7 linked regions of the Sus scrofa genome follow. The protein of the gene in region 1 binds, or shares a complex with, the protein of each later gene. Links are inferred from orthologs where the notes say so. Each region holds a gene or a part of one and is shown in the gene's direction. Other genes may lie near its edges. The genes, in order: MED13L, MED20, MED31, CCNC, MED7, MED23 and MED18.

Region 1 (4,667 bases):
TAAAGCTCAATTCACATGTCTAACACTTCTCTCCTTTTGTTACACTCCATCTTTCTCCTGTTTTCCACTCTTCCTCTCTTTTAGTCCAATCTACACGGCTCTTCCACGTTCGAGGGCTTGTTAATGAAGAAGTTATCTTCTCTCCTCCTTTGCATCGAGGTCAAGCCTTGAGGGCTGGAAAAGAGCCTCCCTATGGTGGCATTCCTCTGTACTCCCATACTGGAAATGTTGGTTACTGATTGAATGCTGGAGGGAAGGTCTGCTCCCAACACAGCCCTAGTAAAGTGCCTGGGAGTTAAAAAAAAAAAAAAAAAATTTCTGGCACAAAGCAGGAGATTAGAAAGCATTTATGCAATGAATGAACGCATGCTCACAGTGCCTAGGAGTAAGGGTTCAAAAGGCATTTCTGCATTTCTTAGTGCCTGGTATTCAGTAAGCGCTCCTGGGCGAGGGTAATAAACCTTAGTGCAAGAGCTTAGCTTCCCTGTGCATGGGTGCAGGGGTTTGAATCCCATCTCCTCCTCTTCCCAGCTGTGGGCAAGTGACTTAATCTCTTTGTGCTTCAGTTTTCTCATTTGCAAAACACGGACGACAGAGTGAAACCTTGAGACACGTGGACATGCTGTCTGGCCAACAGCGAGCCCCACCACCCAGTCGCCCAGGCCGTCAGAGGCACAGGTTAGGGGCCCCAGCTCTCCGCGGCCACTGCCACAGGCATTCCGGGGGTGAGGTAGCGCCGCGTAAAGATCCTAGCACCCGAGGGGGCGGGGCGCGGCGCCCAAGCGGGGCAGCGCACAGCAGCCTGAGGCCGCTCGCCCGGCCGCTGCCAGCCCGGCAGCCGCGCCGCCCGCACTTCTTTCTCTCCCTCCCCGTCTTCCTTCTTCTCCCGGCCGGAGAATCCGATCGCACTCGGCTCAGCAGCGCCGCCCGCGAGCCCCGCCGCCGCCGCCGCCGCTCAGGGCCCCTCCCCCGTCCCCCCTCCCCGCGCGGCCGGCGCCCGTCACGTGATAGGGCGCTAGCCAATGGCGGGCCGAGCCGCGGTCGGCGGCCGCCATTGCTGTCAGAGTGAGAGAGCCCGGGGAGGGAGGAGAAGCGAGGCTGACTGGGGAGGAGGAGGGGGGGGTGGGGGAGGAAGAGGAAGGAGGGGACGTCGCTCGGCTGCCGGGGTCGCCCGCTGGCTTCGTCCGCACCCCCCCTTCGCGAGTTCGCGCTCCGCGGCTGCGGCGGCTCCGAGGCGGCGGCGGCGGCTCCGGGGCTCGCCTCCTCTCACGCGCCGGCGGGGGCCGAGGGGGAGTCGGTGGCTGGAGATAAACAAGGCGGCGGCGGCGGCGGCGGCTGAGGAACAGGGAAGGCGGAGGCGGCGGCCGGCCCGCAGCGCCGGCCCGGGAGGCAGCGGCGGCCCTGAGAGGCGGGGAGGGCGCCCGGCCGCGCGGACAGCGCCCCCCGCCGCCGCCGGAGCCGCCGCCGCCGCCGCGGGAGCAGGAAGGAGCCGCGCGGCCGCCGCGGACCCCCCCGCCGGCCCGGGCCCGCCGCCCCCGGCGCGGCGTCGCCGCGGCGCCTCCCACCCGCCCGGCGGCCCTCCCGCCCTCCCCCGGCGGCGGCGGCGGCCCGGCTGCCCCGCGCTCTCCGGCGAGGCGCTGCCGCCCGGCCCGGCCTCGCCTCGGACGCCTCGCTCCGACATGCCCCGCTCTGGCGGCCGGGCTCGCGGAGGATCATGACTGCGGCAGCGAACTGGGTGGCGAACGGGGCGAGCCTGGAGGATTGTCACTCCAACCTCTTCTCGCTGGTGAGTAGCCGGGCTGCAGGGAGGGGGCTATGCCGGGGTGGGGGGGGGTCCCCGACCTCCGCCGCCGACCTCCGCCGCAGACCAACTTTCTCCTCCCGCCGCCGGGACTTCGCCCCTCCCTCGCCTCTCCCCGCCGTTCGCCTCTCGCTGATTCTCCCCCTTTTGGATCGTCTCTCCCTCGCCTTGGATCCCATCCAGTGTTTATTTGGCTCTTTAAAAATCATTTGTGAGCGCGGCGCTCGGCGTGGAATTTGCATGTAGAAGTCTCAAAGCTGCGGATTCTGGGTCGCACTTCGAACGCCCACCCTCTGTTGCCATCGCACTCCCCTTCCCCTCCCCTTCCCCCCCTTTTTTTCCTAAATGTGGAAAGCTTTGCCTTGTGCTGCCCGCGCCTGCGATAAGCAGCCTTTTTCCCCCCTTGTCGGATGGGCTGCCCGCCCGCCCGCCTTTTGAATTTTTAAAAAATTCCATAATGACACCTGCAATTTCGCCCGAAAACAGTTGATTGAATGCGATTGTGTCAGTAAAGGACTCTTGCACCCGAAGCTCCCGCGATTGTAAACATCGACAGCCGCCTGCCTCTTGGGGCTTACTACGCTGGAGAGCCGTAAAGCCATTGCACCGAGCCGACGGAAGGTGGAGAAAGCTTTTTCTTTTTTCTCTCCTCCTGTGTTTTTTAAAAAACTGTTTTCTCTCTCCTAACACACACACACATACACACACACACAGCAGCAGCAGCAACAAGCTGGGCGGTTTGATAACATCGCTTTTATCTGCCTTCATCTCCCTCGCGCTCTCTCTCTGATAATTGACAACTTTTCCTTCGGATTTGAATCGCCTGCCTTAATCTTGAAGCAGTTAGGGTGTCAATTGTTCTCCTGGAAGCCTGGCACCCGACGACGGCGTCTAGATTCAGCGAAATTAAAAATGTATAGGGCTCCAGCAACTCTTTCCTGGCGGTGGCAGTGACATTTGGTGGTAAATGCCATCTTTGCTTTTTATTGGGTCGTATTACCTAGCTCTGAAAACATTCACGTTGTTAAACCTGGCGTTTAGGCTAATAATTGCAGTGCGTGGTCTTTAAATATGTGCTTTGTGCATGGGTTACTGTATATATAGCTATGTGCCCGGGAGACTACGAATTTGTTTAAATATTGAGCAAAGATTTGTAAACAGATGTAAGGCAATTATGTTTCAGGCGTAGAATATAATTGGAAAATTGGCTGAACGGTTTGTTTAATTTAGCCTTAAAAAAAGAAAACCCCAACTTATTTTAAGTTTTGTATCCTTTTTGGGGGGGACTGCCTTTGGAGAGCTTGCATTTTTGAAATTGTTTTCTGTAACCCCTGCTGTAGATAGGAGCATTATTTTCTCTTAATCCTTGTTTACACTGGATAAATAATTTAGTGTTCAAATTGTAATTAGTTGCATTTAATTATGGGTAGCATAGATGCTTTTTTTTTTTCTTTGAGACTAGTGGAGAAATACAGATTCTTGCCAACTTTTCAAATGGAAGCTTTATTTTTTTAAATAAATTTCATTATGCAGATAAAAAAAATCAAAACGTGATTTTTACCTGCAAAGACCCAATGACATAGTATCTTTGCTTTCACTGTAATAAGGTCAAGTCAGTTTTTTCAACATTTTTATTTAGATATTTAATCTTAAAAATCAATGATAAGTTGCGAGTCTTCTTTATACTGTGAAAATTTTCCCTTGATCTTTTGCTATGTGGAACTAAAACTCATTTTGCTGCTGCTTTGCTCCTCTCAGTCTGTCATTTAGTATTAGTCAGATGCAGGGACTTCCATAGATTAGCAAACGTATTGATTAAGGGGTATTTAAATGGTTTTTGTTTGGCGGCTGGTGACCACTTTGACACTTTAACAGGGAATTAAAATAACCGAGTAGACCAGTATTAGTGAGGAGAGATTCCAAATTACCATATATCATGCTGACTAGCAACGGCTTGTATGTATGTGGCTAATTTATATACAGTACGTTTTGTAGACAAGTCAAAGTACATGTGTAGCCTGTCTTTTGGAGATATCATTTTTTTATCTTTTTTTTTTTTTTTAAAGCTTAAGTAAGAATGATAATGTTATAGAGATAAGATGCTTAAGATTCTTTTGGAGAGGCAATTTGTATGCTTTGCTGTGCTTTATGACTGACTGAAGGTTTATGCTTTAGATTTTCTAACCTTTTTAAACCAGGAATTGATTTTTGAATATACTTTTTTTTTAAAAAAAAAACAATTACTCTTTAGGTAGCAACTTTGAAATGCAGAACTGCAGCGTTGTTTGGGTTGATTTTTTTTTTTTTTTAAAGGACTGTAGAATGTCTACATTCTATTGTATGTAGAAAGTGGATAGGTACAAATTAAAAAAATTTAGGATTCAGAGCTGTTGATAATTATAAATTTTACTCATTGCAAATTGAGAATTTTCTTGAAAATTAGATATAGCAGCAACCTAGAATATCAAAAATATTTTGCCTAAAGTACATTGTTTGGAATTGTTCATTCCAAAGGAGATAAAATCATCACCTGCTCAAAATAAAGCATGTATTATAAGAACTTGTGGTGCATAATAATAGCATACATTTTTCTTTTTGGCCTGCAGTTATTTTTTTTTTTTTTAGTCAGAGGAAAGTATTGCTTATAGAGAATTTACCTAGATGCTCTTTAATGTAGATTGAAATGTAAACTAGAAATTATTAAAGTTCTGTACCACATTAATGAGCCATCTACTTTGTATTACTTTGAGGTGTTCACATGGCTTAGCAAAAGTTGATTTGTGCAGTCAGATGCCTTAAGATTTTTTGTTAGTCCTTTACTTATTTTACTTTCTGATTTTCTACTGCACAGCATCACAGTTCCCAA
Region 2 (4,589 bases), on another chromosome or scaffold:
TGCTAATCAGGGGAGGGTGAGGATGCAGAGACTGGGGAGGAACAGTTAAAAGACAATAGTACAGGAATTCCTTTTGTGACTCCGTGGTAATGAACCCAACCAGCATCCAGGATGCGGGTTTGATCCCTGGCCTTGGAGGATCTGGTGTTGCCATGAGCTGTGATGCATGTCACAGACATGGCTTGGATCTGGCATTGCTGTGGCTGTGGTGTAGGTCAGCAGCTGCAGCTCTGACTGGACCCCTAGCTCAGGAACCTCCATATGCCACAGGTGCGGTCCTAAAAAGCAAAAAAAAAAAAAAACAAAAAACAGAGACAATAGTGCAACCTTGGGGCAGGTCCAGATTCCTCCTCAAGGAATATACATAGTATCTTTGAGCCCTTCTGCAGAACTATTACTTGATGAAGTATGAAGCATTCTTCAGTGGAAAAAAGGAGGACCACCAGAACCAGTCCTGGGGCCACTAAACAGGAGCGTGAGAAACCGTGCAAGTTTGCCTCGACCCTGGTCCTTAACTGCGGCTCTATTTTCCACTCTTACACTGTAAAACCATCTCCTAATCTCTCTCAAGGGGACCATAGTCTTTAGGGCACTAACCTGCTCTGGCCCTCCTTTGGCAGAGCAATAGAGATATCTTTTTCTTCTTCACCCAAAACCCTGTCTCTGTGCTTCAACTGGGCATCGGAGGACAGAGACAGAGTTTTGGCAACACTACCTGCCTCATATCCTAGCTCCCCTCCTCGCACCGGTTTCCTCCGTGCTACCTGAGATTCTGTCTCCCGGGCCTAGGTCCTAATTTTGCTCCAAATAAAACTTAACTCTCAACTTTTAGGTGAAGGTCTCCAGCCACCCTAAATCCGGCCAGGGCTGGGTCTCCCATTCCATTACCTTTGCTAGAGTGTAATACGCCCCCCTGGGTTTTTTTTTTTTTTTTTAATTCCAAACTATTATCCTGCCGGACACTTTTCAGCCTACCACTACCAACTACCCATCCTCTTTCTCGCACCCACTCTCGCTACTCACCCAGCCGCGTGGTGCGATCTTGAGGTGCCGCCGGCCTGTCCCCGGTCCCATGCTCAGCCTCGAGCTCCTCTTGCTGCTGCCGCGCTTGTTGCAAAATCCGTCGGGTCAGCCGAGGCCCCACGTACTCCTCCTCCTCTTCTCCGGTTCCGCGACCCCGCCGCTTTTCCCGGGTCCCCGCCCGCACCGCATTCCCAGCCAGGATTTGGTCGGCCAGGGGCGCATGCTTTTCCTGACCCTCGGCCCCGCGGGCGGCCTTGAGTTTGGGCATTTCGCTAGAAAACCTCGCCGGGAAGTTTCACATGTGGGGACAGAGGAAAAGCTCTGAGTGCGCCGGCGCAGGGAACTCCCCAGAGGCCAGACGGTGATTACAGCGCCCCCTGGTGTTCGGAGGCCGGACCTGCCACCATCCCCGCCCCACCCCCTGATAGAGCTCCTGAGTCCTGGAGCTGGACTCCCGAATAAACTCATTGCAATTAACATCGCCTTCTCTAAGCAGTGGCAGTCCAAGCCACGCTTTCTTAGCTTCATGAATCTAGGCCCGGGGTGATTTGTCGAATAGGAAGTCCCCGAGCTGCAAGCCTAGGGGGCGGAGCCCTGCAGTGACGTCACTGGAGGCGCCTGTACGCCCCGTTCCTCGTGGCCGCCGAAGGGACTCGCACTTTTTACGTTATTTCCGGAGCACCTCCTACTACCGAAGCTTTCGTTAGGTCGGTGGTTTCACCTCGCGTGGGCTGCAGCAGAGCACTGCGTATCAGCTGTTCAGTACTGTCATCTTCCTGGCCTAACATCATGGGAGTGACTTGGTAGGACTTCAAGGGATTTCGTGGGGCGAAGCTTGGGGTGGTGAAGGGCCGGTGGAGCCTCCAGTGTCCCCGAGAGGAGGATCGGGATCAGGGTCTGAGAGAGATGCCCTCGAGTTGTGTGGGTGAGGGGACCACTGTGAGGGCTGCGAAATCTGCGGGCCTTTTTCCTCGGAGATGCGCCCCTTCTTTCTCAAAGGTGGCAGGTTAAAAATTTTTATCTTAAGAATCCACCAGTGGTCGCGTACCTCCTTCCGTTTTTCTTGGTATATTCTTCCTGCTCGTCATCCCACAGTACTGCCTGGGGTCGGAAATAGTATGTCGGGTTTAGGACCCATCTGCAGTCAAGGTTGGATGGGTTGTGGGGAGGGAGATAGACAACATTGAAGGCAGTATCTTTTTTAGGTTTTTGCCCTTCCCTATGGCCACTAAATGCAGTTAGACCAGCCTGTGTCTAGTTCTAATTTGGCCATTTTAAGATCTCGGGTCTAGAGGGGGAAAAAAAGAAGCTATTGGGAGTTAGGAGATTGGGATGTTAGGCACATCACCTCCTCAGAACCTGTTTCCTACTATGTTTAATTACATGCTTGGTTTAGTTTCTGTGGACTTAATATCTGTAACGTGTTATGAGTCAGAGTGCAGGGAAATATGGGCCTCATGCTCTTGGAGGCATTAGTTCCAAAATGCTAGATTTCAGGGCTTAAAAGAAAAAAAAAAAAAAAGGTATCTGGAGCATCTTTCCAATCAGAGAGGGCTAGAGGCCAGGGTATCAGGAGTCAGTGGCTATAGAGTCTTCATATAAGAAAAGAGCCTGTGGGAATTCTTCCTCCCAGTCACCCAAGTCTTGCACACTTGTCAGTGACTGCACATTTGCTTCCTGCAGTTGACATCATGAGCCTCTTTGGAAGTCTTTTAGTGTAAGGAGGATGTGAAGAATGGAGATGAAAAGTTTCCTCCGCAGAGGCATGGAATCCTGGAAGCCCCTGTTGTTTTTTTCTTTTCTTTTTTAAATTAAAATATAGTTGATTTACAACATTGTGTCAGTTTCTGCTGTGAGGCCCCTGTTGTTGTTTTTGTTTTTGTTTTTGTTTTCTTTTTTCTTTTTTTCTTTTTAGGGCTGTTCCTACAGCTTTTTTTTTTTCTTCTTCTTTTTTTCTTTTTAGGGCCGTTCCTGTGTCACATGGAAGTTCCCAGGCTAGAGGTTGAATCAGAGCTGTGGCTGCCAGCCTGTGCCACAGCAATGCCAGATCCGAGCTGCATCTGCAACCTACACTACAGCTCATGGCACCGCCAGATCCTTAACCCACTGAGCGAGGCTAGGTGATCGAACCCATATCCTCATGGATACTGGTCACATTCTTAACCCGCTGAGCCACGAGCAGAACTCCGAAGCCCCTGTTCCTTCAGTGCAGAAGGCAGACAGAGGGAAAAGGCCCTCTGTTGGGACCCTTCTCGACTTTTCAGATTCCTAGTACTTTGGACCCCAGTTGTATCATCTAAGGGATTCTCTTATTTTTCAAAATAAAGGCCATCATCATTGTGGCTTGTTAGTGCTCTTCCTGATGGAGATTACTGACAATTTGTAGCAACAGCAGGGGTCTGTTTTTATATTTTCCTTTAGTTGATCATAATTGGTCATAAAGTAATGCAGTACCTCCCAAAATTCAGCCACATAATGATTGTCTTTATGATTTTTATATAACTTCATAGCACTTGAACTATTTATTTTTTTTTAATTTTTTTTTTCTTTTTGCCATTTCTTGGGCCGCTCCCGCAGCATATGGAGGTTCCCAGGCTAGGGGTCTAATCAGATCTGTAGCCGCTGGCCTACGCCACAGCTCACGGCAACACAGGATCCTTAACCCACTGAGCAAGGGCAGGGATCGAACCCACAACCTCATGGTTCCTAGTCGGATTCGTTAACCACTGCGCCACGACAGGAACTCCTAATGCTTTCTTTTGATTCTGTTTTTTTCCTTATAAGTATTTTAACAGACAACTGTATCCTTAGGAAAGCATTCTTTTTTTTTTTTTTCCTCTTTCAGCTGCACTCGAGGCATATGGAAGTTCCCAGGCCAGGGACTGAATCTGAGTCACAGCTGTAAGCTGTGCCACAAATGTGGGAATGTCAGTTCCTTAACCCACTGCCCCAGGGCAGTATCAAACCCATGCCGTCACAGAGACAATGCTGATCCTTAACCACAGTGGGAACTTGGAAAGCTTTCGGTGGAGCATTTAAGAGCATGGACACGGAGCCACCTCACTTGACTACACTGCATTAAGCAGTATGACCTTGTGCCAGTTACTCAACCTCTCTGTTCAGTAGTTTTCTCATTTGTAATGAAGAAATGATTATGCTGTGTCTTATAGGGCTGATGCAAGTTAATTCATCTAAAGGCTTTGGGCACTGCCTGGCTCATAGTTGGTGCTTGGTAATTATTACCTACCACTTAAAGTAGAAGCCAGTTGCACTCTCCATAGAAGGAAATCTTGGAAATAACTTTTTATCTCATTGTTTTGGCTAAATTCTTGTTGCCTCTCACTCTCAAAGATTAGAAACTTGAGGCTTGCTTTCTCTTTGATCCAAGGATCCTTAGAACTTTCTTCATTGATGAAAATGTTCTATGTCACTGTCCGGTACACCAGTTCCTAGCCACTTGTGGCTATTGAGCTATTGAAATGTGGGCAGTGCAACTGAAGAGTTGAAGTTTTCATTTCTGTCGCACATGGCTTGTGGCTCCTGTGCTGGACAGCTTTCGTTCAAAG
Region 3 (4,633 bases), on another chromosome or scaffold:
GGATTCCAGATTCCCTGCCACTGCGCCACGATGGGAACTCCTGTTGTTTGCCTTTTCACTAGAATATGAACTCCCCCCAAGCCAGGGCCCTGTTTACCTTGTTCACTGCTATAGCTTAAATGCCAGGATAATACCTAGCACAGAGTCGGTGCTCAATATGCAGGCTCCCTCCCCTGCATCTCCTCAAATCACAGGTCAGGTTTGCCTTCTAGAATTATTCTTTTTTTTTTTTTTTTTTTAATTTTCCCACTGTACAGCAAGGGGGTCAGGATATCCTTACATGTATACATTGCAATTACAGTTTTTTCCCCCATAAAATTATTCTTGATTGTTGATGGTTGACCTTCATTTTCCATTTTGAACTGCACTTGACCTATGTTAAAACATGTGTGGCTGGGGGGCGGGGGGGGGTACCATGCACAAGGGCTCAGCATAAAGAAAAGAACTGCGTGCTTTGAAATATAAACATAGGCCAACTAATTAAGGAATTAACTAATTAAGGAAAGTCTGATCCCTGCCCCCCAGGTTTTCAGCGGGCACATAATCAATCCACTGGTCATGATTTCTGCTTGCTCCCTGTCCTTAAATTTGAAGCAGCAAAGGTCATTCAGGGCTTAAGGACCCCCACACTCACCTGTCTGAGAGGTTCAAAGAGCCTCTTTGTCCATCGACTCAATTCATACAGTATCCGGGGCCCGGAACTTTTTGTGCTGGTTTCAAGTTAAAACAGTTCACAGGGTCAAAGGCAGGATAGTCCAAGGTGCAGCTGGGTCAGTGAATGTTGGCTGAGTCCTGAAACCACAGCTTGGCTCTTTCTTACATTGATTTGTGGATTGTGGACTGTTTCCAGGAAACCAAAGGGAATCGGTCCACCTGGCAGCAGGCCGGCTGCGAACTGGAGGCAGATCTGCACTGGCCACGGGCCATGGCCCTGTCGTGGCCCTGGAGAAGGAAGCATCTCATGGGGCCTTTTGGACATTCTGGCGGCCTGCCGGCTGCTCCTGCCGCGGCGGGCTCTCTACGCGGTGCAGAGTCGTCTCCACCCGCAGGCACGAGGCCCTGACGCGGCGGGAGGCTGTTTCCGTGCGCTGCCAGGTTTCCACGTGCTGGGACACCTCGACGACGCGAGGGAGCCGTTTCCCAGAGGGGGAGACGGAGGGCCCCTCGCTGCAGTGCTGGGTGGTCTCCACCCGCCGGGAGGACGTCTGCACCTGGCGGGAGGATGTCTCCACGCGGTGGGACGAGGTCTCTACGCGTACCGTCGACGTCTCCTCGTAGCGGGCGGCCGCCGCCCGGGGCCGCGAGGGCTTTCCCCGAAGGGGTGAGGCCATTCCACGGGGGTAACGGACCGAGCGGGCCTCGGGAGGCCTTACCGCCTCACGCTCCCCGACGGGTTACGTCACAGGGTGACGAGTGACGTCACATGCCTGTGTGACGCAGGTACAGCGCTAGACGAGGGTGCCACGACACAGGGACTTGGGGACAAGGTTTCCTTGAGGGGTGGGGAGGGACGTGAAAACTCCTTGGCAACTCTGGGCCGGGCCCCTCAGGCGCTCGGTCAGCGGGCGCACCGCCCCCTCGTCTGTCAGGAGCTCCCGCGAGCGGAGGAGGGGCTGGGCTGGGCTGGGCCGGGGCGGGCGGGCGGATGGGCGGAGCCACCCGCCCCCGCGCGAGGCTGATCCCGCCCTCGCGTCCCACACTGCCCCGCGGCAGGAAGAGGGAGCGGCGGCTTCCGGCACGTCCCCCGCGGCTCCGGGCGTTTGCTGTGCTGGGCTGCTTGTGGGTTAGCGTCTTTGCTCGTGATGGCCGCCGCCGTCGCTATGGAGACAGGTGAGTCGCGCTCGGAGCCACGCGTCTTCGCAAGTAGAACTATCCTGGGCCCAAACCCCCGCTCCTGCTCCCCCGCGTTCTCCTTTCAGGCCTGACTTCTTTCAGGCAGAGTGAGTTCGGACCGGGAGGGCCGCGGACTTTTCTAGTGTCGGAAGGGTGAAGGTAGTTTGGCCTTTTCAGAGTTTAATTTGTTGGCCAACACTTTTTCTTTCATTGCTCTTCAGACACCGGCACCACTGGCTTCCGGCGAGAACGAGAAAGAGAATTTCAATTTTAAACCAATCTTCGGTTTGTTTTCTGCGTCTCAAACGAGCTTGCATAAGTTAAAACATCGTCGACACATTTGTGTTATTATACTACCAACGACGCTTCTCACCTAAGCACACGCTTCTTGATCTTGTGTACTCGCCGTAGCCTCTGTCAGCTTGCATTCTGAACTTTTTCTTGGTGGCTTTAGCATTCACTTTGTTTTTGTTTACTAACTTTATCACCTAGCTACTTGTAATGCATTATTAAAATTAAGGCACAGTTACCCTAATCTATCCCAGTGATCACTGTTAAATTTCTTACATGGTAGCTCACGGGTCATAAACATTCTGACCTGTGTGTTCTTGCTTTCTTTGATGACTTGTCTTTAAGTTTAGAGAAACGTCTTACTCCTTTTAATCAGGGCTTTGCTTTCCTTAGACTTCTAAGAAAGGTTTTTCTCCTCCCACGCCCAGTTTAGGAAAATATCACATGCCCTTCTTTATGAAGAAGTGTATTTCAGCATTAGGTTTATTACTGATGTTTTCTTTCTACAAATCAGTATTCAGTGACGTTTATTTTGGATGATTTTTGATATCTTCTCTCCTAGATGATGCTGGGAATCGACTTCGGTTTCAATTGGAGTTGGAATTTGTGCAGTGTTTAGCCAACCCAAATTACCTTAATTGTAAGTTGAGCAGTACCCCGTTGAATTGAGTAAATATTGATGATTTCTGACCGAAGAGTTGCAATTCATAGTACTGTTGGCCCTTGGTATCCACAGTTCAACTGCAGTTGGTTGAATCCTCAGATACAGAAGGTGACAGTACTGTCACTGTCATCGCACTATACCATTTTATATAAGGGACTTGAGCATCTGTGGATTTTGGTAATCTGTGGAGTCTCCTGGAACCAATCCCCTGCAGAGTCCCTGGGATGACTTTATCTACTTTTATACATTCTCAAGTGAATGGAATTATTGCTACACTTTTACTGCTATATATTATCATTGAGCAGACTGGGACTTGTGTTTTGAATTCAGTGTCTTTTTTTTTTTGTTTTTTGGTCTTTTTGCCATTTTCTTGGGCCGCTCACATGGCATATGGAGGTTCTCAGGCTAGGGGTCGAATCGGAGCTGTAGCCGCCTGGCCTACGCCACAGCCAATGCAACTCGGGATCCGAGCCGTGTCTGCGACCCACACCACAGGTCTCGGCAACGCCAAATCCTTAACCCACTGTGCGAGGCCAGGGATCGGACCGGAAACCTCATGGTTCTTAGTCGGATTCGTTAACCACTGAGCCATGATGGGAACTCCCTGAATTCAGTGTTTTTTAGTGGTGGGGATGTTATGTTAAGTTTACTTTATGTATGTCAGGAGTCAGAAATAAGTAGTCCAAGGATGGTTTGCTCTACAGATTTTTTTTTTTTTTGTGCCTTTCAGTTCTTGCCCAAAGAGGTTACTTCAAAGACAAAGCTTTTGTTAATTATCTTAAGTACTTGCTTTACTGGAAAGAGCCAGAATATGCCAAGTATCTAAAGTAAGTTTAATTTTCATAGTCCTAAATATATGTGTACTTTATTACAAAGACTGATATTTAATTAGATGTCTTAGTTTCACATTTGAAAAAAAATTTTTTTGCCTCTTTGTGCTCCTTTTAGTTTCCACCAGTTTAATATGAAACACTTGTTTCTAAATTAACTTGGATTATTGCAGTAATCTCACTGGTATCCCTACCCCACCCCCACCCCCACCCCCACCCCCACCCCCACCCTTCCACTTGAAATAATTTCACCTAAAAACAACTGGAAATAATAGAATTTCTGTATATTCTAACCAACAGACCTCATTCACATTTTGCCAGCTGTCTCACCAATATCCTGTGTCTGGTGTAGTATCCAGTCTAGGCTCAGATGCTGCATTTTGTTGTCATGTCTTCTTAGTCTCCATTAATATGAGTTTTAAGTCTTCTTTTTTTTTTCCCCTCCATAAGTGACACAGAAATGATGTTATATCCTTCTTGGTATGTCAGGAGTCACAGGCAGTCACTTCATTCTATGACTGGTGATATTAATTTTGATCACTTGGTTGAGGTGGTGGCTGTTATTTTTATCCATATCAAGTACTATTTTTCCTTTTGTATTTAATATGTATCTTGTGAGGAAATACTTTGAGTCTGTAGGAATTTCTTGTTTCATATTTCATTCTTTTACCCACTAACTTTAGCATTTACTGAAGATACTTACTTGCTTGAGACAGTTTTTACTGTGGTGACATGCTTTGTTTTTTGTCTTTTTAGGGCCGCACCCACGGCATATGGAGGTTCCCAGGCTCAGGGTCAAATTGGAGTTATAGCCACCAGCCCACACCACAGCCACAGCAACATGGGATCCAAGCTGTGTCTACAACCTACACTACAGCTCATGGCAACACTGGATCCTTAACCCATTGAGTGAGGCCGGGGGTCGAATCTGAGTCCTCATGGATGCTAGTTGGGTTCGTTAACCATTGAGCCACGATGGGAACTCCTCTGTGGTGATGCCTTTTTTTTTTCTTTT
Region 4 (3,944 bases), on another chromosome or scaffold:
ACTTGCATCCTCATGGATTCTGGTCAGATTTGTTTCTGCTGAGTCATGATGGGAACTCCACCATCTTCATTTTTATACAGGTTATTAGAACAGTCTCCTTCCTGGCTAATTGGCCTCTAGCATCCCTGTTCTCAGTGTCCCTGTTCTAAGAGAGCCAGCCTATTCTCCACACTCGAGCAAGGCTGGTGGTTCTCAATAATAATTTTGCTCCCTATGGGATGTTTGGGATAATTTTGCTCCCTATGGGATGGTTTTGGTTATAACAACTGGGGTGGCATGCCCCTGGCATTTAGTGAGTAAATCCCAGGAATGTCATTAAGCATCCTGCTGTGCATAGGGCAGTCTCAAAAGATTATCCAGACCATGATGTCAGTAGTGCCAAGGTTGAGAAACTGAGCTCTAAAGAACTGTTTTAAATGCGGAATTTGGAAGTTCTTGGTGGCCTAGCAGTTAAGAATCTGACATTGTCACTGCTGTGGTATAGGTTACAGTTTAATCAGAGCTGCAGCTGCTGGCCTATGCCACATCCACAGCAACGCTGGATCCTTAACCTGCTGAGCAGGGCCAGGAATCAAACCCACATCTTCATGGATACTAGTCAGGTTCAGAACCCACAGACCCATAATGGGAACTCCGTCCTAAGAACCTTCTACATGCTGCAGGCGAGGCCAAAAAATAAAATAAAATAATAAAATGCAGGATTTATACCCCTATTAAAATCTTTCAGTGCTCCTCCCAATTTCTGGATAAAATTCACACCTTCTTTTTACCATTTCTGCTCCCAATTCACATTTTTGGGTTTTTTTTTTTTGTTTTGTTTTTTGTTTTTTTGTCTTTTGTCTTTTGTCTTTTTAGGGCTGCACCTGTGGCATATGGAGGTTCCCAGGCTAGGGGTCTAATCAGAGCTGTTGCTGCTGGCCTATGCCACAGCAGCGCCAGTTCGAGCCGCGTCTGACCTACACCACAGCTCATGGCAACACCAGGTCGTTAACCCACTGAGCGAGGCCAGGGATCAAACCCGCAATCTGATGATTCCTGGTCGGATTCGTTTCCACTGCGCCACGACAGGAACTCCCCAGTTCACTTTTTTAAAAAGCTGACTCCTCTATCTTGTTAGTGGCACTTTCTGTATCACCTCAGTCTGGGTTTAGAATGTCTCCTCTGTTCCTAATTTACTTTATGTGTGACTTATGTCATTTTCCACTGTATTTTCATTACCTGTATTTATTTATTCATTCATTCATTCATTTTCCTTTTTGGCCATACCCATGGCATGTGGAAGTTCCAGGCCAGAGATCAAATCTGAGCTGCAGCTGTGACCTCCACCACAGCTGCAGCAACACCAGATCTTTAACCTTCTGCGCCAGGCCAGGGATCAAACCTGCTCTGCCACAGAGATAAGCCAGATTATTAACCAACTGTGCCACAGCTAGAACTCCCTAATTACATGTTTTTATAATTTGTCTTTTGATCTCAATCTGTCCTTGACCTAAGCCTTACTTTACAGCTTTGTTTAACATAGGGCAGCCAGTATGTAAGTTCATGTTTGAGTTGCTGTTTGCCTAGAATATCCTTCTTAGCAAAGTCTTATGGGTAACCAGACTAGGGACTATAACACTTAACAACTTTGTGTGGGATCACTATAGCCAGGCTGGTTGGGAGAATTATATTAGGTAAATTTATGATGTAGATTGTTGCCTCTGAGTCTTTCACTATCTTTGTTAGTTTATGTTGTAAATAATGTATATAATTACATTGTGTGGAGTATATTACTTTTTTTCCCCTCAGCTCTATTTGATTATAACATCAAACTCTGTGCTAGTGTGCCCAGTTTATACCTAACTTGATCTTATGTTAATAACTTTAAAAAACAGAGGGACTGCTACTTTTAATTGAAATACCAAAACATAGTCAGTGTTGTTGACATTTATCAGTGTTTTGATTGCTAAATTTTTGTTTCTTTTTGTCACATGGACTTTTGGGTGCATTTTCACCACTGCTTTGTACTGCTGTTCAGGGATCCTTTCCTGCTATAGTTCCTCAGTGGATTTTTTCCTCTCTGACATGCCCTGACTCTCAAGGCAACCGCACCATGACTAGCTCTCAGTGGGGAGAACTTTACTATATGTAGCCCAATAACTTTTCCTATATGTAAGATTAAATTAATAGGGTGATCACTGGTAACTGTTACATGAATCTATATAAATATTAAAAGGAATATAAGAAAATACACATAAAGTTTTAGGTGACTTTTAAAATCTTAAGTGAGTCCATGCATTCCATGTTTGCACTTAAAACATGGACCTTTGTCTCATTTTCTTTCCAGCCTGCCTGCATGTAGCCTGTGTTGTACAGCAGAAAGATGCCAGACAGTGGTTTGCTGAGCTTTCTGTGGACATGGAGAAGGTAATTTTTAAAGTTTCCTTGACTGAATGTAAACTTGAACATTTTAAAATTAATGTTATACTTACTTACCATGAGACTCAAATTTCATGATGTCAGCCAGGCTAAGAATATTTTTGGTAAAGAAACGCTAAGAAATATGTGACTATTTAGGTTATATTTCTCTTCAGTTTAGGCTTAAATAGAATGGTAAATTTAGGGTTTGATGGTTGCAAAGCAGCCTCTAATTGCCAGGATTATTTTATTTTATTTTATTTTATTTTAATTAAGTAATTAATTAATTGTCTTTTCTAGGGCTGCACCTGCAGCATATGGAAGTTCCCAGGCTAGGGGTCTAATCAGAGCTGTAGCAGCCAGCCTACACCACAGCCACAGCAGCTCAGAATCCAAGCCTCATTTGCAACCTATGCCACAGCTCAGGGCAACGCTGGATCCTTAACCCACCGAACAAGGCCAGGGATCTAACCCACAACCTCATGGTTCCTAGTCGGATTCGTTAACCACTGAGCCACGATGGGAACTCCAAGGATTATTTTAGCTCTGATTATATTTTGGCCGAGCCCTCAGCATGCAAAAATTCCCATGTCAGGGATCAAACCTGAGCCACAGCAGTAACAATGCATAATCCTTAGCTACCAGAGAACTCCTGGGACTGTTTTAAAAGCTGCCTGGTGACAAGTGACCTAGTGAATACTACTGTAAACTTTTGTAATACAGCCTATCTCCTGACAAAGTAGTTTTTGCCCTTTTTTCTACCTTTTTTGCTGAAATATTCTAGAATCAATCCAAGGTTAGGTCTACTCAGGTGAAGAAAGGGCAGATTTGGAAAGCAGATTTGAGAGATTTGTAGCTGCTGGTTTTTGAGCACCTTCACTCATGTGTAGCGTAGTTAATAGAGAATCAGAACAAAGTCTTTTGTGCACTACTGCCCACTAAATTATTTGAAATGATTGTTATTAGAGGAGTATACTCTGTAGTGGCATACTCTTCATAATCTAGACCTCTGTTCCTTAGTACCTCAATATTTTGGTTTGGTTTAAGATATCAATAGATAGAAGGAAACTAACTGCGGAGATGGATAAGGATAGACCAGGTATACATATTAAAGATGAGAGGTTAGGAGTAAAAGCCGAAATTGCTGTATGGTAAAAATAGTGCTTTCACATTTATCAGGATTGTCTAATCTAAGCTGAAGGACAGGGGCAATCTTTTCACTGTTTTCTGAGGGATATCTAATACGTGATATGTCTTCTTTATATACTAAGTGTTGCTTGATATTGCCGTAGAGAACTTTTCAAATATTTTCTTCTAGATTTTGGAAATAATCAGGGTTATTTTAAAACTGTATGAGCAGTGGAAGAATTTTGATGAGAGGAAAGAGATGGCAACTATCCTTAGTAAGATGCCGAAACCAAAACCTCCTCCAAACAGGTACTTTGTAGACTTTATATATTGATTTTATTTACTTGTATATTTTATATACATATCATGTTTTTTCATAGATTACGTTTTGTTTTCGTAAAATTTTTTCCAAAACTTCA
Region 5 (4,445 bases), on another chromosome or scaffold:
AATTCGTGATAGTGAGGTTTGGAATTAACAGGTCTTGATAAATTTGGCAGTGATGGTGAGGAGAGTAGGTTGGTAAAAACGGAGGCCTAAGATACCTTTCAGATTTATGGCTTGAAACACTAGGTATATAATGGGGACATTTTACAAGATAGGAAAGATTAGAAACGGAGAGAACAGGTGTAGGGTGTGGGTATATACGGTAGATGGAATCAGAGAACTTTTTTTTTTTTTCTTTTCTAGTTTGAAACATCCAGAAGGAGCCCAGACGCAGTCTGGAGATAAAAAACCAAGAGTTAACAGAAAGACATTTACCGTATGTCTTCTGGTGGGCAAAATCATGCCTGGTTGAGAACCACTGTAGAAATGGTATTTAAAGCTGTGGAATTGACTGAGACCATCCAAGGGAGAACACGAAACAGGTCTAAAATTACTGATCAGCAGGCAACAACGATTGTTACAGATAATTCTTTTTGACCTCGCAGTACTTGACAATTTCTGGAATTAATTGCCAGTATTTTTAAAACTTGAGAGATTTCATGTAAAAATATGGGGGTTTGCCCTTGAAACATCAAGAAACTGAGAAACAATGAATCTTCTTTCCCACATGAATGCTAGTGGCAGGAAGCTTTCAAGTCTGGCAGGCAGATGCTCAGTTTGCCCTAATCCCTGCCTCAGAGTGCTTCACTCTTTATATTGCCTGCCTTTTCCCTTTGGTATTTGAGTTTGTGATTCTCATTTAGGGCAGCCCTCTGAGGCATGCCAACATTAAAATTTGGATAGAGAAGAAAGGGCGGTAAAGGATACTGAGAAGGAGTGGCCAGTGGGGTAGAGGAAAATGAAAATGTAGGATCACTGAAGCTGGAGGAGAAGCGGAGTGTATTGCAAATTAAGGAAATGCTGCTGAGAGTTTTGACTAGTATTCATGAGGATGCAGGTTCAATCCCTGGCCTTGCTTAGTGGATTATGGATCTGGCATTGCCACAAACTGGTATAGGTCTCATATCCAGCGTGGCTGTGGCTGACAGCTGCAGCTCTGATTCGACCTCTAGCCTGGGACTTATATATGCCGCAGGTGCGGCCATTAAAAAAAAAAAAAAAAAAAAAAAAAGAGAATGCTAAGAGATTAAGATCCCCTTAAAGTCCATGGGATTTGGTCATGTGGAGATTGTTGATGACCTTGATGAGTAGTTTTTGTGGAGGTAGGAGGTTGATACCATACTGGGTAGTGACAAAATGAATGAGGGGAAGGCTGGTACAGCAGTAATTGTGGTTGGTTTAGTTCGAGTAACTCATGATGCCCACGGCCACTGCCTCACTGACTCTCAGCAGCATCTTGTTCGTCACCTCTGTGGCTTGGTGGAAACTTGGAGCTACTGGGCAGCTGCCTTTAGTACCTCATACATTCCAAGTATAAAACGGCATCCAGTATTTTACCTGTTATCTCTGACGTTGGGTGGTGTCATATCTTTTTTTTTTTTTTCCTTTTTAGGGTCACACCTGCAGCATATGGAAATTCCCAGGTTAGGGGTCGAATTGTAGCTGCAGATGCTGGCCTGTACCACAGCAGCACCAGATCATAGCTGAGTCTGCGACTTCCACCATAGCTCACAGCAATGCCAGATCCTTAACCTACTGAGCGAGGCCAGGGATCGAACCTGAGTCCTCATGGATACTAGTCGGGCTCATTACCACTGAGCCACAATGGGAACTTCCAGTGTTATGTCTTGAAAATCTGATAAGATCAGTCTAAGTGAGCACTCGAGATCTTACCATTTTTTTTTTTGATATACCTAAGCTTAAAATGGAATAAATAGAGGTTATTGTGGCTCTTGAAGATATATTTGGATTTGAAATTTCTTTAGTGGATGTAGAAAAGTTAACGTGTCTATAAAAAATAGTTGAGTACATTGCAGAAAAAGAGGGTATGGAATTGGGTCATTTTATCAAAAAAGCACAGACGATGTGAACTTGTCTGGAATATAGCAATTTTAATTTTGTCAAGGTGTTTCTTAGACCATAAGTTAGCGTTTGCTTTTGGAAATGCATCTATAATATAAAATAAAAGTGTTGTAACCTCAGCTGGGGAGACAGCATGTGTAGTTGACTATAAAGAGAGGTAGAGAAATAGGGCATAACTGGTGAGGGGTGTGGAAACCAGAAGATTTCCTTTATAGCTGAAAATACAATCAACTCTTGAACAACTCAAGAGATTAGGGGTGCCTCCCCTCTGTGCAATTGGAAACCTGAGTATAGATTTTCCAGTTCCAACCTGTGTTCAAGGGTCATCTGTATGCTACAGTATATTTTTTGTGCCTGTGAAAGTATTAGGTAGAAAAGAAAAGAAAAAAAATCTGGATAGTTGAGTATATAATGCTAATTAGAAAAGGATGGCAGCCTTTCTGTGTTATAAATGTTAGTTTTAGAAATAAAAGAACTCTTTTTGTCCTGGGCCCCAAACTGCCGTGAGAAAAAAAGGGAAATAACCTTGTTTGTAGTCACTAAGTGTGGCAGGTTTGTTCTGTAGCTCTACTCTCAATCTTCGGTCTGTTTCTGTAGGTTTGTGATCTTCTGCAATGGGTGAGCCACAGCAAGTGAGTGCCCTTCCGCCACCTCCGATGCAGTACATCAAGGAATACACAGATGAAAACATTCAGGAAGGCCTCGCTCCCAAGCCTCCACCTCCAATAAAAGACAGTTACATGATGTTTGGCAACCAGTTCCAATGTGATGATCTTATCATCCGCCCTTTGGAAAGTCAGGGTATCGAACGGCTTCATCCTATGCAGTTTGATCACAAGAAAGAACTGAGAAAACTCAATATGTCTATCCTTATTAATTTCTTAGATCTCTTAGATATCTTGATAAGGAGTCCTGGGAGTATAAAACGGGAAGAGAAGCTAGAAGATCTTAAGCTGCTTTTTGTGCATGTACATCATCTCATAAATGAATACCGGCCCCACCAAGCCAGAGAGACCCTGAGAGTCATGATGGAGGTGCAGAAGCGGCAACGCCTTGAGACAGCAGAGAGGTTTCAGAAGCATCTGGAACGAGTCATTGAGATGATTCAGAATTGCTTGGCTTCTTTGCCTGATGACTTGCCCCATTCAGAAGCAGGGATGAGAGTAAAAGCTGAACCAATGGACGCTGATGATAGCAACAATTGTACTGGACAGAGTGACCAACAAAGAGAAAATTCAGGTCATAGGAGAGACCAGATTATAGAGAAAGATGCTGCCTTGTGTGTCCTCATTGATGAAATGAATGAAAGACCGTGAAAGATGTTTCTTTTCCTTGCTGATTTTTTCCTTTCAGTAAATAGCATATATATTAGTTAATTCACTTTTAGAGAATTCTTTGAAGAGATACAACTAGTAGAAGGCACGCGAACAGCTTGACTCTCCAGCTTTATCAGTTGTGGGACGTCACAGGCAGTATTTTCGTCTGTGGCAAGCATAGCTAGATTCCTACTTAGCTTAAATGTAGTGCCCCAGTGAGAGTAATCACCGTGAAGGGCAGTGTTCGCTGCTATTGGGTGGAACGTCCCTGTTTTCAGAGGTGCAGTGAGCTGGAAGATATCCTCAGTAATTGCAAGCTTTCGTCCTTGGAAAGTAGATTTGTCATTTGCTTTAAGAGTGATAAATAATAAAGGATATCAAACTATGTAAATGTGAACTTAGGAAATCTTTTGATTTATTCCTCTTAAAAGATGGCTTAATCTCTTTAAAAAAAAATAGTGTTACATGTTAAAAGAGAGAAACCCCATAAGAGTTATAAAACAGTAATTTTATTTTTCCTCTTGACTGCGCCTTATAAATATTCTATCCCAGCCTCTTGGTCCTTATTCTGGATGGGTTCCAGAACTTTCTTCTGGCCACTGTGACAAGTCCTTTGATCACTTATAGTTATATTCACTTTAATAATTAAGGTGCCCATACATTACATTTCCTAAACTTGGAGTTGCTTAAGGCTGGAAGCCTGCTATGGGTAGGGGGCTTGGTGGCAGAGACTGCTGGATGTCCACTGGAGATTCTTGCTCCCCTGAGATGTGCTGCCCTGCCAGGGACTTCATTTCTCCATTCCCCTTGCATATCTGTGAGGCCACGTGACTGAGTTCTTAACAGTGAAATATGGTGTAAAAATCTAGGCCTGCCCCATAAAAATTTTTTGCCTCGTCATTCTCTTCTCATCTGCTGGTGTTACGGTCACACCCAGGAAAAGTTTGGAAGTCACTTGAAGATGGCAGAAGTTCAGTCCAGGAGTTCCTGTTGTGGCACAGCAGAAATGAATCTGCTAGTATCCATGTGGATGTGGGTTCAATTCCTAGCCTCGCTCAGTTGCTTAGGGATTTGGGGTTGCCGTGAGCTGTGATGTAGTTCATAGACGTGACTCAGATTGCTGTGGCTCAAGCCACAACATGGCTTGGATTGCCCTGTGGCTGTGGCTGT
Region 6 (3,944 bases), on another chromosome or scaffold:
AAGGCATGCTTTTGTACAGGTAGGCATTTTCATATAATTTTTCTGTTCTTCTTCAAAGGCCATGCGTAGTCATGAAGGGAATGAAGCCCAGGTTTGTTATTTCATAATTCAGTTGCTGTTGCTCAAACCAAATGATTTTAGAAATCGAGTAAGTGACTTTGTGAAGGAAAATTCCCCAGAGCACTGGCTACAGAATGACTGGCACACCAAGCACATGAATTATCACAAGGTACTAATTCAAGTTAGTGCTTCAGTTAATCCTTTTTAAAGCCATTCTTGTAGGTATTTGGCTAATTGACCTGGCTGTTTTCTCTGCAGCTCTACTGTTTTCTCTCTGGTCCGTATAGAAGTGAATTAGCTCTCTTAACTTTCTCAAGGTTCTAGAGGCTATCTGTAATGTTCAGAATAAATTAAAACTATAGTTTTAGTAGACATGAGTACTTAAAAAATGAAAAGAATTATGTATGTAAATGTATCTTTGAAACAGTAGAGATTTTTTGTTGGATAAAAGGACTCTTAAGTTTCATTTTATTGTAGCAGCAAACAGTTTCAGATTCTGTGAAAAACGACAAGTTTAGCTCCTTTAAGGAGAAAAAAAAAAAAAACATGCCTCAACATTTACCATTTCCTCATTTCCACAGAAATATCCGGAGAAGCTCTATTTTGAGGGCCTGGCAGAGCAGGTTGATCCTCCTGTGCCGATCCAGTCTCCCTACCTGCCCATCTATTTTGGAAATGTGTGTCTCCGCTTCCTTCCAGTATTTGATATAGTAATCCACAGATTTTTAGAATTGCTCCCAGTATCCAAATCATTGGAGACTCTACTAGATCACCTGGGAGGCTTGTATAAATTTCATGGTGAGCTTTTTCAAATTTTAATTCCATCTAATAGCCCTGTAGACAAAAGTAGGCTGGTCATGACCAAATGGATAATGGTGATTCTAAAGGTTTTATTTTAATAATTTTAATATAAGTGTTTTGAGAGGAGGTATGTGTGATGATGCCATGAAATGTAAAATAAATGACATAAAAATATCAACAGATCAGAGCAAAAAAAAAAAAAAAGTAATATGCAAGAGAAGCCTTGTTGTATATATTGTGTGATTAATTTCCAAATCAGTACAGAAGGAAAAAAAATAAGTTCAGAACAGACTGGTGTTACTGTGAACTAAATAGATCTTAGTGGGCTTCTTGGATGGTTAGGGTTTGAACTATGATGTATGGGATTTATATAAATAGGAAGGAGAAGAGAACATACTAGGCAGAAAAAATCTTTTGGAAGAATCATGGAGATGTTAAAAACAAGGCATTTTGAAAACAGTCGTCTCGTTGGGCTAAATTGTACCTGATGGCAGATCACCGTAAATGCCAGGCTCAGAAGTTCTGATTTTATAACCTAAAGATAATCAAGCATTAACTAGAAGTTACTGAGTTAAGTCATGTCATAGTATTATTTTAGAAAGATAAATCTAGTCAGTTGTAATTCCAATATGGACAACTTGGAAGGAGGAAGTCATTTTAAAGACTTATAACAAGACATTCAGTTGTATTAGCATCTAAACAAGTATGATGGCCTTGAATGAGAAAGAAGGGACAGATAGTCAAGGAAGTAAGAATTGGGCTTGATTGACCAGTTATGGGGGGAATATCAAAAGAAAGCAAAGACAGCTCTATGATGTTTTAAGCTTGATAACTGGAGAATAGTGAAATCAGTGACAGAGTGTGGAAGTCTTGGAGTAGCCACTATGGGGACAGAGTGTTTATTTGGGGGGTAGTTCTTCTTAATCCTTGGTGTAAGAAGTCTTCCTCCAAAACAAATCTGAATTATGTTTTAGCACTGTAGAGTAAGTATGAAGTTCAAGGGAGCAGTCTTTTAAAAACACTTCTCTGGAGTTCCTTTCGTGGCTCAGCGGAAACAAATCTGAATAGCATCCATGAGGATGCAGGTTCAATCCTTGGCCTTGCTCAGTGGGTTAACGATCCAGCGTTGCTGTGGTGTAGGCCTGCATCTACAGCTCCAATGTGACCCCTAGCCTGTGAATTTCCGTATGCTGTGGGTACAGCCCTAAAAAGAAAAAAAATTTTAAAAATAAAAATACTTTTCTTTTGGATCGGATAATATATGCACATAATGAAGTGTAAAGTAGTTAGTCCCAAGCCTGTGCTCTAGTTCAGCAGTTTCTTTCTCTATAAGCAATTTCTGTTACCACTTTCTTGTGTATCGTACCATAAATATTGTGAGGTTGGTAGTCTTTTTCCCACAAATATGTAATACTACACATTGTTCTGCACCTTTTTTTTTTTTTAACCTTTCTAACCTTTCTAATGTATTGGGGTTGATAAATTTGTATCAGTACATACAAAGCTGCTTCTTATATGCGGTAATTAAGTTAACCTGTCCACTGTTTTTCACTCTTTAGGCTGTTTTGATCTTTTGCTGGTATAAGCAGGGCTTCAGCGACATTGCTTACATTTATGACATTTTTTGCAGAGTAAATTTCCAGAAGTGGAATTGTGACCTCAGAATGTGATAAATATCCTTCAATATAAGCTCTGTATATTGTTAGAAGCCTTTTGCCTTGTCCTAGGATAAAAACATTCATTGTATGCACTTGGCCAACATGTGAAGTAGTTTTCATAACCTTCTGAGCTATTTATTGGTAATCTTAAAAATAGAAGGTTATTTTTTCACAGTTGTCAGTAACCAGGTAAACATTGTAGTGACCTCTTTTCTTCTTGGCAGATCGTCCAGTAACTTATTTGTATAATACTCTGCACTATTATGAAATGCACCTGAGAAATCGTGAAAGTCTCAAACGAAAACTTGTCCATGCAATCATTGGGTCGCTCAAGGATAACCGACCACAGGGCTGGTGTCTAAGTGACACTTACCTGAAATGTGCTATGAACGCACGAGAAGACAATCCCTGGGTCCCCGATGACTCCTACTATTGCAAATTGATTGGCAGACTAGTAGATAATATCCTTTTTATTGTGCTTTTCCAGTCTCTGCAGAAATAACTGTATGTCGATATGTGTGAACATATGTTGTCTTTTTATATGTTCCAAGACTTCAGGTTTTTTAATGTTTTATGTTTTAATTTTTGCTTCTGTAAAGGTTTTGAAATCTTAAATTAGTAGCAGCATGCCATGTAGGTAGAAATTTACTCCACTAAAATTTATATTTAAAAAAATTTATATTTAAAAATTTATATTTCCGCCTTCATGGCTCAGCGGAAACGAATCTGACCATTAGCCATGAGAACGAGGAGGATTCGATCCCTGGCCTCGCTCAGTGGGTCAAGGATCCGGTGTTGCCGTGAGCTATGGTATAGGTTATAGACACAGCTCGAATCTTGCGTTGTTGTGGCTATGATGTAGGCCAGCGCTACGGGTCCAATTAGACCCCTAGCCTGGGAACCTCCATATGCTGTGGATGCAGCCCTAAAAAAAGAAAAAAGACCTTAGAGAAGAGATTTATTTCAAAGAAAAATATCCTATTCCTAAATAAATGTACTAAGTCTTGTAGTACATGCATCTATTCACCACCAGAGAACATAGAATTTTGTTGCTTTAAATAAAAACCTGAATTTTTTAAAGCATTAATAGATAGTAATAAAACTTCTTTTTCTTTTTTTTAGTGAGAAATTCTATATTGATATTTTTATTTCAAGTAATTAGCACATTGTATTTAATAGCACATTGTACACCATGCCACTATTTACTAGGTTTATTTTACTACACAAAGGAATTATTTCCTGAAGTAAAAGAATTACTTAGGCTAAAGAAATTTTCTTATTAACTGTCCTATAGGTACTAAAAGAAATAAGTTGATAAAGCCTAGGGATAGCTTGGCTGCATCTGTAGCTCTTAAGTCACAGATATAAGAGCCCACTTACATAAAACCAACCGTTTATACCTGTGGTTGATCATATAGGAGCTAT
Region 7 (4,419 bases), on another chromosome or scaffold:
ACTGAGCAAGGGCAGAGATCGAACCTGCAACCTCATGGTTCCTAGTCGGATTCGTTCCTGCTGCTCCATAGTGGGAACTCTGAGGCCTCACATTCTTATAACATTTTCTCCATCCCTATAAATCATGAGTCTTGTCCAAGTTTTACCATATTGTTCACCCAATTCTTACCTATTCTTTTTTTTTTAATTTAATCCTACTTTTGAAATGTCAGATAAAATGTGGGTAATATTTTTTTTAAGTTTAAAAATGTAAATGAGTAAGACAGTATAAATTACAGCAGGGGAAACTGGAATTATAAATGACTGTATAGGAGTTCCCATCATGGCTCAGCAGAAATGAATCTAACTAGTACCCATGAGGATGCAGGTTCCATCCCCAGCCCCAGTCAGTGAGTTAAGGATCCAACATTGCCATGAACTGTGGTGTAGTTGCAGACTTGGCTTCGATCTGGCACAGCTGTGGCTGTAGCGTAGGCCAGGGGCTACAGCTCCGATTCAACCCTGGCCTGGGAACTTCTATATGCCTTGCTCGGTGAGTTGGGGGTCCAGGATTGCCATGAGCTGTGGTGTAGGTCACAGATGCGGCTCAGATCGCACATTGCTGTGGCTGTGGCATAGGTCAGCACCTGAAGCTCTGATTCAACCCCTAACCTGGGAACTTTCATATGCCAGGGTGCAGCCCTAAAAAGAAAAAAAAAAAAAAGATGTGTAGCAATTAAGAGGGTGGGTTCTGAAATCAGGCAGCTGCTTAAATTTGTACCCCAGTCTAAACTCCCTGGTGTGTTATTTCTTGATGCCTAAGTTTCTCCATTAGTAAAATTAAGTAATAATTATACTTGGGTTACAGGGCTGCTGTGAAGATCAAAAATTCCAATATTTTGTTCATTAAGGATTTTTTTTCCACATTAAATTCGTAAAAGATTGCATTACAATTTTTTGAATTGTTAGGAGTTTTGGTGCCCCTTAAATTTTTCGCTCCAGGGAGTGCCTCAACCACCATACTCTAGCTCCATTCTTTGCATTTTACATGCTTGACACACAAGCAACATTCAATAAATGAGCTGAATTTACTTATCTCCCAAAATTTTTGAATTGAGGTAAAATAAACACAGAAGAGTGAACAAATATCAAATGTATTGCTGAGTTCCCTAATTGTTCAGAACAGTCTGCTAAACAGTAAAAGATGTCTTTCCTTCTTATCTTCAGGTACTCAACCAAAAGAAGTTTTGGTTTTATGATCTCTTTTTTTCTTCAGCTCTCTTCCCCCGGCTCTCTTTTCCCCCTGTAAGTTCCAAAAGAATTCCTTGACAAAAACAACTCCAGGCCGTCACACTTGAAAAAAGGAAAATATTTTCCGGGAGGACTGCCTTTGATGTCAAGGTCCCCCTCACGCCCCGAGGAACGCGCTCAGGAAGGCCGCCCTCTTCCACGCAGAATCGCAGTTTGCGCATGCGCTTCTACTTGCCAGGCCGCAGAGATGATTTTTATGCCTTCCCGGCACCCTTACGTCGCAGAATGGTGATGTCAAGATTTGCGCGACGGAGACTTTTTGCCGGAAGTGGAGGGGAGAAAGTGTTGCACTCCACCGGGGGGTGGGGGTCTTCAAGTTCAGTGCTGGGGGCTAATTATCGCTAAAAAGCTCCGAGGTGCTCTGGTGGCTTCAGTTCCCTGCTTTGCCAGAAAAGGCTAGAACACGCGCGGAGGTGTGTTTTTGGTGTGAGTAGGCACGCGTCGATGGTGGGGTAGGAGGACCTCAATCGTCAGAAGAACTTCGCACTTCTGTCTGGCTCGCTTTCAAAGGCGTTTTGAACGCCTAGATTTTTGTCTGGTTTATCTCTGCCATGGACTTGCTCTGTATCCTTCCCTCCAACCCCCACCCAAAGTGTCAGTATCCTCATCTCCAAATTGAAGGGGAGTCACCTCTCAGTTCTATTATTTCACGGCTATTGTGTCATCTGAGCCACAAAGCCTTGGGGGTTAAATGTCGACCTCATTTTATAAGGAAGACATTGAATCCCAGGGTCAGCGGTTTGATGGCTTATTGCACAGGAAATTCTGAAACTGAAGGTTTCAGACCTTGAGACTGAAAGATTATAACTCCATGATCAGGCCTCCTTTGTGTATTTCTGTATCATCAATTCCTGAAACTGACTTATGGAAGTTGTTCAAAAAGTTCTGGATGAATGAATGAATCTTTTGATGTTAAGGCTAATGACCCAGGTAGATCTGGTGTCTCTCCATCTCTCTGATGTATTAACAAGCATAACTCTTTTCCAGGTGTGTCCTGTGCTTTATTTGACTGGGACTCTGAATCCGGTTCTGTTGCTTTCAACTTAAACAGATAGCATGGAGGCACCTCCAGTCACTATGATGCCTGTCACCGGGGGCACCATTAACATGATGGAGTACCTGCTGCAGGGTAAGTGAACTAGGGAGCTTAGATTACCTGATTTCCTCTTTTCTGTTCAGGTTCCATGGAGATGAAAGGCTAATATACAAAGGCTACATAATTTCTGGCACCTCTTTTTTTTTTTTTTTTCAATTTGGCTTTAATTATGGTCACAAACATATAGCATTAAACATTTTGAGCATAACATTTAGTAGTGTTAAATATGTTTGCATTGTTGTATAGCCAATCTCTAGAACTTTTTCATCTTGCAAAACTGAAACTCTGTACTCATTCTTCCTTTCCCCTCCCCCCAGCCCTTGGCAACAACTTTTCTACTTTCTTTTTTTTTTTTTCTTTTTTTATTTTCTTTTCTGCTGAACCTACGGCATATAGAAGTTCCCAGGCCAGGGATCGAACCCACACCACAGGAGCAGCTCTGGCAGCTACAATGACAACACAGGATGAGTAACCCACTGCACCACAGGAGAATTCCAAACCTTTCTACTTTCTGTTTCTAATTTTGACTACGTTAGATAACTTTATATGAGTGGAATCATATGGTATCTGTCTTTTTATGACTGGTTTATTTCACTTAGTATAATGTCCTCAGCGTTTACCCGTGTTATCACACGAGACAGGATCTCCTTTCTAAAGGCTGAATAATGTTCTATAGTATGTATATACCACATTTTCTTTATCTGTTCTTCTGTTGTTGGACATTCAGGTTGCTTCCACCTCTTGGTTAACATGGATAATGCAGTGAACATGTGTATGCAAATATCTCTTCCAAGATCCTGCTTTGAATTCTTTTGGTTAAATATCCAGAAGTGAAATTAATGGATCATATGATAATTTTATGATACTATTATTAATTCTTGTAGATCAGGAAATAGAATTGAAGTAACTTGCCCAGATGAGAAAGCTCAAAACTCAGTGTAATGATTTTCAGGAGGCCTTATAATGTTTCGCAAAAAAGTTTAGACTTTGAATTATCCATTTAAGAACTTAATATGGAAGTTCCCGTCATGGTGCAGTGGTTAATGAATCCGACTAGGAACCATGAGGTTGCAGGTTCGATCCCTGGCCTTGCTCAGCGGGTTAAGGATCTGGCGTCACCATGAGCTGTGGTGTAGGTTGCAGACACGGCTTGGATCCCACCGTTGCTGTGGCTCTGGCGTAGGCCGGCGGCTACAGCTCCTAGATTAGACCCCTAGCCTGGGAACTTCCATATGCTGGGGAGAGGCCCTAGAAAAGACAAAAAAAAAAAAAAAACTTAATATGAACGAAGTAGGGTTATTAACTTTCATTCTTCCAGCTGTCCCTCCTTCAGTCTTTTCCATCTTAGTAAGTGCCTGTCATTCACCAGTTGCTCAAGCTATGAATTCAGGAATCAATCTCCATTTTTTCACTTTATTCTCACCTATAGCTTATCTCTAGTTCTGTTTATTTTACTTCCAAAATATATATTAAATATGTCTTTTCTCCACATGCAATGGCTTGGTTTATCATCCTTTGAACTATTTTAGTAATTTTGTGCTTATTGCATTGCTTCCACTTTTGATCATCTGTCTCTTCTCACACAATAGTTCAACATCTTTTTTTGGGGGGAGGCAGTTTTTTAGGATCCTTAACCCACTGAGCGAGGCCAGGGATCGAACCCGCAACCTCATGCTTCCTAGTCAGATTCGTTAACCACTGCGCCACAACGGGAACTCCAGTTCAACATCTTTTTTAAAAAATGTTTTATTATTAAAAAATTCAGGGAGTTCCCGTCGTGGCGCAGTGGTTAACGAATCCGACTAGGAACCATGAGGTTGCGGGTTCGGTCCCTGCCCTTGCTCAGTGGGTTAACGATCCGCGTTGCCGTGAGCTGTGGTGTAGGTTGCAGACGCGGCTCGGATCCCGCGTTGCTGTGGCTCTGGCATAGGCCAATGGCTACAGCTCCGATTGGACCCCTAGCCTGGGAACCTCCATATGCCGCAGGAGCGGCCCAAAGAAATAGCAAAAAAAAAAAAAAAAAAAATTCAAAC

Evidence for each region.
Region 2: MED13L (region 1) and MED20 share a complex: the UniProt entries of both Homo sapiens proteins name them as parts of the mediator complex. The link is inferred for Sus scrofa from reciprocal best matches to the Homo sapiens genes MED13L and MED20.
Region 3: MED13L (region 1) and MED31 share a complex: the UniProt entries of both Homo sapiens proteins name them as parts of the mediator complex. The link is inferred for Sus scrofa from reciprocal best matches to the Homo sapiens genes MED13L and MED31.
Region 4: MED13L (region 1) and CCNC share a complex: the UniProt entries of both Homo sapiens proteins name them as parts of the mediator complex. The link is inferred for Sus scrofa from reciprocal best matches to the Homo sapiens genes MED13L and CCNC.
Region 5: MED13L (region 1) and MED7 share a complex: the UniProt entries of both Homo sapiens proteins name them as parts of the mediator complex. The link is inferred for Sus scrofa from reciprocal best matches to the Homo sapiens genes MED13L and MED7.
Region 6: MED13L (region 1) and MED23 share a complex: the UniProt entries of both Homo sapiens proteins name them as parts of the mediator complex. The link is inferred for Sus scrofa from reciprocal best matches to the Homo sapiens genes MED13L and MED23.
Region 7: MED13L (region 1) and MED18 share a complex: the UniProt entries of both Homo sapiens proteins name them as parts of the mediator complex. The link is inferred for Sus scrofa from reciprocal best matches to the Homo sapiens genes MED13L and MED18.

The regions. Positions count from the first base shown.
Region 1 is NC_010456.5:36,062,436-36,067,102, forward strand, and holds the start of MED13L (mediator of RNA polymerase II transcription subunit 13-like), read left to right. Parts: upstream 1-1,593; 5' UTR 1,594-1,714; coding exon 1,715-1,786; intron 1,787-1,865; exon of another isoform or gene 1,866-2,422; intron 2,423-2,467; exon of another isoform or gene 2,468-2,764; intron 2,765-4,667. UniProt on the Homo sapiens protein: Component of the Mediator complex, a coactivator involved in the regulated transcription of nearly all RNA polymerase II-dependent genes.
Region 2 is NC_010449.5:37,071,244-37,075,832, reverse strand, and holds the start of MED20 (mediator of RNA polymerase II transcription subunit 20), read left to right. Parts: upstream 1-1,682; 5' UTR 1,683-1,812; coding exon 1,813-1,826; intron 1,827-4,589. UniProt on the Homo sapiens protein: Component of the Mediator complex, a coactivator involved in the regulated transcription of nearly all RNA polymerase II-dependent genes.
Region 3 is NC_010454.4:50,727,155-50,731,787, forward strand, and holds the start of MED31 (mediator of RNA polymerase II transcription subunit 31), read left to right. Parts: upstream 1-1,526; 5' UTR 1,527-1,802; coding exon 1,803-1,830; intron 1,831-2,054; exon of another isoform or gene 2,055-2,118; intron 2,119-2,686; coding exon 2,687-2,764; intron 2,765-3,518; coding exon 3,519-3,615; intron 3,616-4,633. Other genes in the region: C12H17orf100 (uncharacterized protein C17orf100 homolog), read right to left, coding at 960-1,331. UniProt on the Homo sapiens protein: Component of the Mediator complex, a coactivator involved in the regulated transcription of nearly all RNA polymerase II-dependent genes.
Region 4 is NC_010443.5:66,475,675-66,479,618, reverse strand, and holds part of CCNC (cyclin-C), read left to right. Parts: intron 1-2,326; coding exon 2,327-2,406; intron 2,407-3,715; coding exon 3,716-3,834; intron 3,835-3,944. UniProt on the Homo sapiens protein: Component of the Mediator complex, a coactivator involved in regulated gene transcription of nearly all RNA polymerase II-dependent genes.
Region 5 is NC_010458.4:66,117,425-66,121,869, forward strand, and holds the end of MED7 (mediator of RNA polymerase II transcription subunit 7), read left to right. Parts: intron 1-240; 5' UTR 241-313; intron 314-317; exon of another isoform or gene 318-419; intron 420-2,556; 5' UTR 2,557-2,573; coding exon 2,574-3,275; 3' UTR 3,276-3,672; downstream 3,673-4,445. UniProt on the Homo sapiens protein: Component of the Mediator complex, a coactivator involved in the regulated transcription of nearly all RNA polymerase II-dependent genes.
Region 6 is NC_010443.5:31,990,906-31,994,849, forward strand, and holds part of MED23 (mediator of RNA polymerase II transcription subunit 23), read left to right. Parts: intron 1-58; coding exon 59-229; intron 230-641; coding exon 642-858; intron 859-2,743; coding exon 2,744-2,980; intron 2,981-3,944. UniProt on the Homo sapiens protein: Required for transcriptional activation subsequent to the assembly of the pre-initiation complex. Component of the Mediator complex, a coactivator involved in the regulated transcription of nearly all RNA polymerase II-dependent genes.
Region 7 is NC_010448.4:85,382,570-85,386,988, forward strand, and holds the start of MED18 (mediator of RNA polymerase II transcription subunit 18), read left to right. Parts: upstream 1-1,515; 5' UTR 1,516-1,716; intron 1,717-2,277; 5' UTR 2,278-2,346; coding exon 2,347-2,419; intron 2,420-4,419. UniProt on the Homo sapiens protein: Component of the Mediator complex, a coactivator involved in the regulated transcription of nearly all RNA polymerase II-dependent genes.